Linked DNA regions of Schizosaccharomyces pombe. The protein of the gene in region 2 interacts with the protein of the main gene of each other region in a pairwise test. Each region holds a gene or a part of one and is shown on either strand. Other genes may lie near its edges. The genes, in order: eaf1 and ell1.

Region 1 (4,033 bases), on a different chromosome or scaffold from region 2:
TATTTGAATTTGAATTTCAATTTCAATTTGCATATTTTCAAGTATATTGCTGATTAATCATTTGTCATGAAAACATCAAAAGAATCAACTCAACTTTTTTTTTTCTCTTGGATGTTTTTCTTGTTTTTTTCTTTTTTGCATCAATGAATTAATTCTTTTCTAAATTTTTTATTTATTCAATTTTTTTATTTATTTTAAATCCTCTTCTCTCTTCTATCCTTGTTTACACTCTCTCAACTACAGACAACATTGTTACCTAATGCCCCCATACACTATATATACACACACACCTCTACCTTCGTTCTTCCTTAAACAACGTATTCATTATATTCCTTGTCCAACATGTTTACCTGGTAAAACACACCGCTAGTTGACACTATCTATACTGACTGATGCTGTTGGATGGTGATTTCTAGTTTAGTTTTTCTAATTACAACAATATATTTTCCTTAGTGGAAATGCTTTGAGTAACTTCTTTTCATTTTCATATATTCAGACTAAATAGGTAAGCTCGTCTTTTGCATGCAGGAAACTGAAACGACAAATGTTGGATTGCAAGGATGCTTAATCATCTGATTTAATGAGCCTGATGGTCTTGACAACCAAAATGCTGTCAACTTTGATTACTGAGCAATTTACAAACGAATGTCAAAACTCTTTTTTTGTCTTTTTCCTGGTTCAGACAATTAGTTTTTCTTAACTCCTTTTACTAATTCTTTTTTTTACTAGTCAAGCTTCTTTTTTTTTTATAGTTTATTTAAAACCCCAACGTTGCTACTCTGGTATTGCCGTGGGTTGAATAAAATTGTCCGTCTCATGAAACGCTAAGACAAGCCATGTTTTTTATAGTCATTATGAATTAATAATAATAAAAAGAAATATAAAAAGATGAAAACATTTTAAAACGATATATGTTTTTCCCTTGGCGTAGACACGTTCGTATATAATTAAAAAAATGACACAGAGTGAAACGAGTTTATTACCGCCGATTCGCTGTCGAGTAGTGATGGAAAAGACTTGTCTTGCTTTACTTTACTCCCTGGAATTTCGTTGCAAGTCGTTCATTAACAGATTTTCTCATTATCGTGTTTGGAAAGTGTATACGAAACACAGCATAAAGCATACTTAATCCTCATCCTCGGAAGCGCTGCTGATACCCTCTGCCTGAGCAGAAGAAGCATAATCCCTCTCTTGCGAAGATAGACCCCTCAAAGAGATTGGTTTGCTGGCCGTTTGGGATACTGTAGAGGGGTCGTCTATGGAATTAAATTCCTGATCAAATCCTAGCTCTAACTCTTTGGCAAAGTCATCCAACTCCATGACCTCCATGTCAGGCTCATCGTTGGTATCGGTGGTGATTGGTCCCTTGCTAGATATGGCAGGATATCGAGTATTGCTCGATGAAGGTTTTATTTTTCCATCCTTTGAAGCTTCCAATTCCTTTTCTTTACGTCTCGTGGAATTAGTCGTGACCGCACTTTGAGAGGTCGATTTGGATTCAGAGATTTGGGAATTATCAGATTGAGTGATGGCATTAGAAGGTACAGTTTTAGAGACTTTTGGATTGCGTAAAGCATTTAATCGAGCAATCTCATCAATATGCTCCAGTGTGAATGTCTAATGCCTAATGTTAGTATCGTAGTAGTGACATGAAAACGATTCCTGTTCTATACATACACATGCACGCATGCATACATAGATTTTAACCTCTTTAAAAATAGTATATGGGACAATAACTTACCTTTGTTTTAGCGTTAAAAATTAGTACACAGTCCACATTCCTGGCTCGTTGGCATGAGCCTTCAAATATATGAGGCCTGTCATCATCCTACCAATGAAGATATACATTAGCATTCGTTGATTCAATAACAGAAGCAAATTGATGTTTCAAAATTTGAGGAACCAAAAAGTAAAAAAATGATTTTTTCAAATTTTTACTCCTCATGGAAGAAAAGGGAAACCAACTTTGCTTAGTCAATTTTATAATACTTACAAAAGTTGAAGGAAGACGTAGACGATAGGCTTCCTGAGCCTTTTCTAAAACACCTCGACGAGAAGGGTCCACACTTTCTGGTATAAAATTGTCTATAAACAAAAAAGAAATAAGTATTCTGCCTGGAGAAAGTATGATGTTCATAGTTTGCAACAGAGATATACACTGTCTCTAAAAATAAATGGGCAACGTACATTTAATAGATAAAAGTCCATTTGAATTCTTTGAGAAGCTGGACCCGGGAATAACTTTGTATGATCCCTTCTGTAATGAATTCATGATTGTTTATAATGGTAAAAGTCAGGCCTGTACGAAATTGGAAATTTCGATATAAATCAAATAAATAACGTAAGGTAAGACAGCTCAAGGTTTCTAATTTTAAACCCCAGAAATGTAAGCTACGCAGTTTGGTATCTGGTTTAAGGATACGTAGAACTGCGGTGAGTTTTCCTTGTGGTCTATTATATTACATTACACAGGTTGTATAAGTAGCAACTGAGAATAGGTATTGTATTAACAGGGTTATAATGTTACCTATCACTAATATAGCTCATAACTGAACTGAGGAACGAGGTTCAGTTGGAACTCTATTCATAATATTTCTAAATAGTTGTTATCATCGGGTATCTATGTATATAGACGGATAGTTACCCGTGATTATCAATAAACGGATCTTAGCTAGTATTCCAACATATGACATATAGTGATGCGCAACGTAGTGTATCATAGCGTAGTGTAGTATTGCTGACAAGAAATGAACGATAATGGATAAACACTCAATTTGCTATACCAATTTGCGAGCAGCTATTTTAGCATTCGTAAAAACGAACTTACACAGTGCGCGACCGAGAAAGACGTTGTAGGTTGTACAGTATATATCATTTCGGTACAAGGATGAATCCTTTATTTACAAGATATATATACATTCGAGGACTACCTGCGCACAGTCAGCAGTATGATTGAAATATTATAAAAATTTACTTGCGTTTCTTGTCTTTTAGGTGCATGTCGTAGGGCAAAATTCTCAGAGTATGATGACTGTTAGATTTATTGCTGCTATTGACAACAAAAACGTCACGATCGATTTAAAAATTAGTAAATCAGTAGTCAAAATACATGGTTTTTCTTATTGCTGCGTCAATCTATCATTCATTGATATTTATTAGCTACAGCTCATTTCTTTTTAAAAAATTTACCATATAGCGAATCGCGGGAAATGAACGTTTAACATTTTTAACGAAGTTAGCTTCTAATACATTAATTACGAAGAGCTTGTATAAACAGTTGACTAGTGTAAGCAGGTATATGAGCATTGTGAGCAAAGCCTTTTTGAATAAGATTATGTTTATTATTGTATTATTAATGTACCAAGTTGCATGGGGAAAAAGTCTACGACATTTTCATGAACATTCCATTCTCATTTCTCTACCTCTTGGATTATTATATTAACTTTTCATTTATGGTAAAGCAACATAATCTACGGCTTTACCGTACTCGGTTGTATGGTGTAGCGGTTAGCACGCGAGATTTTGATTCTCGAGATCTGGGTTCGACTCCCAGTACGACCTTTTTGCCAGAGCGAACAGTGAAAGGAAAGAAGCAAGAATTGCTTTTAGACCTGGGTTTGGATTACTTTTTTCGATATCGCCATAGCTTTATTATAAGTAAGGGCTCCTCGATGCGCTAGCAATTTCAAGGCATCGTTCATTAGTGTCTTTGTGAGGGTATATTAGCCGGAGCTGGAGCACATTGAAGCTTAACAGTATCAAAATTTATTTTTTATATTGTAAATCATTTCTACTAAATTATTTACCCACCCTTCATTTTCACGCTTTTCTACCCAACAACGATTTGGTTAATAACGTAAAGCGTACGAATTTGCAAAGCAACGCTTCCGTGGTGTACAGAAAATCGCTATTTTTTAACGAGACAACTTTAAAGCGTAATGCGATATAAAGTTTTTTTAAAGTATCCTTATATATTATTTAGCTAGCGTGGTTAAATTCCCTATTAATTTGCTCATACACTTTTTTTTGTTTC
Region 2 (5,198 bases):
TTTATTATTTCCCATACTTTCCATGGCACCTGATCGTCCATTACTTGCTGATGAAGACTTCGCCAATATCAGTCTCAAAGTTTCTGACCATAAGGTTGAACTTGTAAAGAATTTAAGTTTGTTGGAGTTGGCTTTATTGATTTGTGCAGTTCGCTTTGAAGCTAGGGATATTCCAGCTTGCAACTTTAATAGTGCTTATCAAGAATATCGACAACTGCATCAATCTTCCGTTATAAATGCCGCAGCATCGGGAGCTCTAGCTCATAGCAGTCGATTATGGGGAAGGGATGTTGCTTTGGAAGCATGGGAAACTTTAGGGTCTATAGGATTGATTATACCGGTTCACCCTTCTACTAATGTTAGTGGTGCCCTTTCTAGACAATGCCAACTATGGCAGCCAGAAGTGGATATCAATGTAGTTTCTGTAGGTTTGCGTGAACATCGACGTTTGCCATCGCATTATTACCGCTGGCTTAAGGAGGTTATATAAAAGAATTGCAATTTTTTTTGTTTCTGTTGTATTTTATTAACTTTGTATCCTTTTTAAATAAAACAATATAAGAAAGGCAAAAATAAGGACGACCGTGTTGAAGGTTATATACCATTACACATTGTAGTTATTACCGATATTTGATAAATAAAAGTTTTAATTTTAATTGATTAAATATTTGCTTCTGATAAACGAAAATAGAATTTACTTTTTTGCTATCAGCGCTGGTTAAGCTGTGAAAGAAGCTGGTCTCCAAATATTTATATTAGATGACTTATGAAGGTAAATCAGTAATCAACGGATCAATGAATACCTAAACATTTTAATGATAGTTTTTGTTTCAGGGTCACTTTGTACTAATGTAGAAAAAAAATTTTGGCGGAATATTTCATGAAAGGTGGTAAGAAAAACAAAATAAATTAGATTAAACGAAAGGACTCATCAGTGGTACTTTTAAGCCCAAAAAAAAGTGATAGCACATAAGGAATTCACGCAGTTTAACTAACTTAAAGATATGTCATAAAAGTTTAAAAAAAGCATCACAATAACAAGATTCTCATTATAAAATCAAAAACAAACTAATATTCAATAAACTGCTAATTGAATATGAATTTAACCAATTTATCTTTTAAACGAAACACTAGCCTTAACGAAAGCAGGAAAAAACAGCCTGCACTCGTTGTAGGCACCGTACAGTATTGAAACAATTTTGAATTGAAGCTGAGATAACCGTCACCTTTATAAAACATTGGAAATAAAACTGAGTGTTAAGAAAACCGGAAATTTATTGAGAAAAGTTAGAGGGCTAGCTCCGAGGAAGCATCGTAAAGTGTATTTTTCCAGCTTTTGAGCTGAGAATGTAGAGATATAAGTTCATCTTGGAGCTTGTTTAAATTAGGATTATTAGTATCATTATTATCATAATATGAAGAGACTTTTAAATATAAATTCTTATAACGCGGATAAGTTTCCCGAAATCTTTTTGCCAATGCTCGCATTTCTTCTGTAGTGTAACGTTGTTGACGACGCTTTTTAGCTATCCATGCATCTTGTTCATTCTTCTTGGGAGAGTTTGCATTGGGTTCAAGAGTGCCGTTGGTAGAAGACGAAGACGTAGGAAACGGGGTGGAAGGCAAGGATTGCGGAGGAGAACGACTTTTTCGTTTGATATGTGGAGATGAAAGATTGGAGCAAGTAGTGGAAGAGCCAGGTGAAGGAATGTCGGAGATAGGAGTATTTAAGTTTGTTGTATCGCTTAATGAAACGGCAGAGCTTTCTGAACCAGTACGAGAAAGATTTCCCGATGTTTTTCGGTGTGAGGAGGGGGAAAGCAAGGGAGAATAGTTTGAAGCGTTGAGCTTGGGTATGCGGTGTTGTTGTTGATAAGAAGAAACCGAGGAAATAGAAGGCATTGAAGGAGAGTTAGTGTCAATGAATGAAGGAACATGAGAAGTGGGTTGGGCCAATTGGGGAGGAATTCGTTTTTCATTGTTGAGTTTAGTAATGTTTTTTTGTTTTGACACTAAAAGTGAACGTTCAGGAGCATCAGGAGGCAATTGCATGTTGTCGAATGCATTGGACATACGACTTAGAACGGCATTCCTGTCTGCAATACTATAAGGACGCCAATCAAAGACTCGTACATCTTTATACACAGGATTAAGGAGCTCCCATTGATTCATGTTGTTCTTCCAAGCGACTTCTGGTAATAACGCTTGTAATTTGGAAAGTGACGCCTTTGTTCTTAAACGAAGAAAATCTTCAGTTTCGGGAGCGATTGCCAAAAGTTGGATAACACGAGTACGAAGATCAATGCCTTTGGCCGAGTTTTTATCACCAGAATAATGTGGTGATGCAGACGGTTGCGAGACGGGAAGGTTTGGGGAAGGTGTATTTGTGGGAGAAGAGGAAAGACCAATTCGTGAAGCACTTGTATTGAGAGGCCTGAGTCCATTTTTTTTTAACTGCTTTTGCTTCCTAGCAGTTGTATTTTTTGAACCACCATCATTTTGAAGGGTAACAATTCTATTTTTACAAATATTAGCATAATTTGAAAAGAGAAAGATTGAAAGTAACTTCTTCCAATCCATAGAATTGGTTGATACTATTGTCGTTCTTTTCATACCTTTTTTCTTCTTTTTCCTTTTGAGCTTCCTGCGTACGATTTTTCACTCGCTCAGCAGTTAAACTGTCGAGCTCTCTACGAAGCTGTAGCTTTTGTGAGACACGGCCAACCAGTTGTAACGAATTCGAGTCCACCAGTCTGTAAATCTCATGCGGAGCAGTTTCTGGAACGGAAGTGCATTTGTAAGACCTATCGTTCGCTAATATTGACTAAAAAAAGTATATTGGTTAGCAACATTCAAAATTCATTCTTCTTTATCGCTCTTCACAAATGCCCACACATACAGTACCAACATCACTGCATTCCAAGCTCACGTCTGTTATCGTTCCTGAAAGATATCCTTCGAGAAACTCTTTGGGTAATTGTACCAGCATCAATAAAGGCGATTCTTCTTCATTTCCGCCTAATGCTACAGGTAGAGCATCAGAAATGCTACTGTTCCTAATCATTCAACCCAAATAGATCGATAGTAAAAGCCTCTCAAAATGATTATATTAGCTAGATGGCACAACGGAGAAGCTTGTTTAAGAAGCCAGTAAGTACGGTAAAGGGATAAGAAGGTGGACTAACATAAAGATGCACCTTATGTATGAAACCTAGCTAGAGCTAAGTAACAAAAAGTAGCACATATTGGTGGTGTACAATAGGAATAAGCAGCGTATCGCTAAATGGAAAGAATAATGTAAACATTCGAAATTCAAAGAAACAAGTTGCAGCTTTGGTGTAAAAAAATATTTCTTTTTATGTCCTTTTAGCTCATATGTGACAGTGTACTATTTTTTGAGATGAATATCGGACTTTGGTTTACATAGTTCAGTTTTTAGTAACAGTGGAAAAATGAGAATTAGGGAGCGATGCTGAACAAATTTGAGCTTGCGTCCTTAGTTTACTATCTAGATATAAGTAAATCATATTTTTCTAAAAAAATAAATTTCCGTTAGGTTCGAAATTCTAAGCGGCGGAATAGGGTTACGGGACCAGAAATTTATTGATGAACTAGTGAATCTTTTAGACTTATTTAATCAATGACTTCTTGAAAACTCTACTGAATTGAAAACAATGATGCTTTACAAATTTTGCCAATTATTCCATAATTGAATTCACTTTTGTTGACGAACTGTGGTATTTATAATTTCAAACAAAAAAAAGGTCTTTAGTACATTAATTTATCAGGTTAAATGAGCCAATATAAAGCTGTTTAATTAACCACAGATTTTTTTTTGATTTTACTTGCTGGTCCTGTTATTCGTGTTTATCAAACTACGCAATTATTTAGATTGTTTTTATGATAATTTGTTAATTTCATTTAATTCAAATCGAATAACGAACCATTTGTTTTTCATTGAATCTTTACATATGTTTACTACATAGTGAATATATTTATAGTCTAGAAACAGTCTTCTTCTGAGTGGAATTATCTATCCTTTAAAATTCATGTTACTAATACAAATATAGTATAACTAAAGTTCCGAAATACTTGATGATTCAGAATAACTGGTATTAAGACAAAAGTAATGACTAGGTTTAAAGCATAGAAGATATATATGTTTAAAATATATCTACAGACATCCAAGGTCGGGTAGCATAGTTGGTTATTGCGCACGACTGTTAATCGTGAGGTCGAGGGTTCGAGTCCCTCCCTGACCGGATATATTTTTGTGTAAATATATTTTGTATATACACAGTTAAACGAGTACTACCAGTTATTTTATTATTGTGCTCATTGAAAATTCTTTCAAAAATCATGTTGAAGCTTTTAACAAAATTTAAAATACCTCTTATCTTTTCTTACACTATATATCTTGTTAAATTTTTTGACAAACGTCTACGGCCATACCTAGGCGAAAACACCAGTTCCCGTCCGATCACTGCAGTTAAGCGTCTGAGGGCCTCGTTAGTACTATGGTTGGAGACAACATGGGAATCCGGGGTGCTGTAGGCTTTTTGCCATATATGTTTTGGTTTCCACTATCGTGCGAACGATTTCAATAAACAAACATTCGTGTTTTTTTCGCTTATGCAAATGGAAAATGTTCATACCAATTTTTAACTCCATAAAAGCCGATATTCCTTACAGAAGATTAACCCGATAAACCCTCGCAGTGATTGAATGAATTGAACGGAATGCTCGACGATTATTCGCAAAAATCTATTTTTATAAAATAAAACTACATAACTACATTATCAAGTCGACTTACTACTACATGAATTTTAACGCAAGTTGCTAATTACGAGCAAGCGCCCAAGAAAAAAGGTACAAAAAAGGAAGAATGAATTCAGATTAACTCTGTAACATTCAAAGTTATGTCGATAAATTTTACAACACGAACGAATCCGTTTCATTTGTAAACATGGGTAGGTTAGTAAGCGGTTTCCGCTAAATCAGCGATAAAGTGAATAGTTGCTAGAAAGAAAGCAAGAAAGTAAAAGAGATTTTCAAGAGACTGCTAAATGAGAAGGGAGATAGAAAAATAAGATGACAAGGAATATCACGGGAGGATAAATTGCAAGCAAAAATGAATGCAAAGGCAGTATAAGAAGTGTCCGAGCAATACACCTTGACAGATAATAAATGAGAGAAAA

What was found.
Region 1: the proteins of ell1 (region 2) and eaf1 interact in a two-hybrid assay, tested with the Schizosaccharomyces pombe proteins (2 studies listed by BioGRID).

Annotation. Positions count from the first base shown.
Region 1 is NC_003421.2:1,859,642-1,863,674, forward strand, and holds eaf1 (RNA polymerase II transcription elongation factor Eaf1), read right to left. Parts: upstream 2,296-4,033; 5' UTR 2,273-2,295; coding exon 2,188-2,272; intron 2,086-2,187; coding exon 1,994-2,085; intron 1,829-1,993; coding exon 1,742-1,828; intron 1,618-1,741; coding exon 1,126-1,617; 3' UTR 826-1,125; downstream 1-825.
Region 2 is NC_003423.3:2,027,972-2,033,169, forward strand, and holds ell1 (RNA polymerase II transcription elongation factor Ell1), read right to left. Parts: upstream 3,170-5,198; 5' UTR 3,065-3,169; coding exon 2,900-3,064; intron 2,825-2,899; coding exon 2,616-2,824; intron 2,516-2,615; coding exon 1,288-2,515; 3' UTR 639-1,287; downstream 1-638. Other genes in the region: origin recognition complex subunit Orc4, read left to right, coding at 1-490.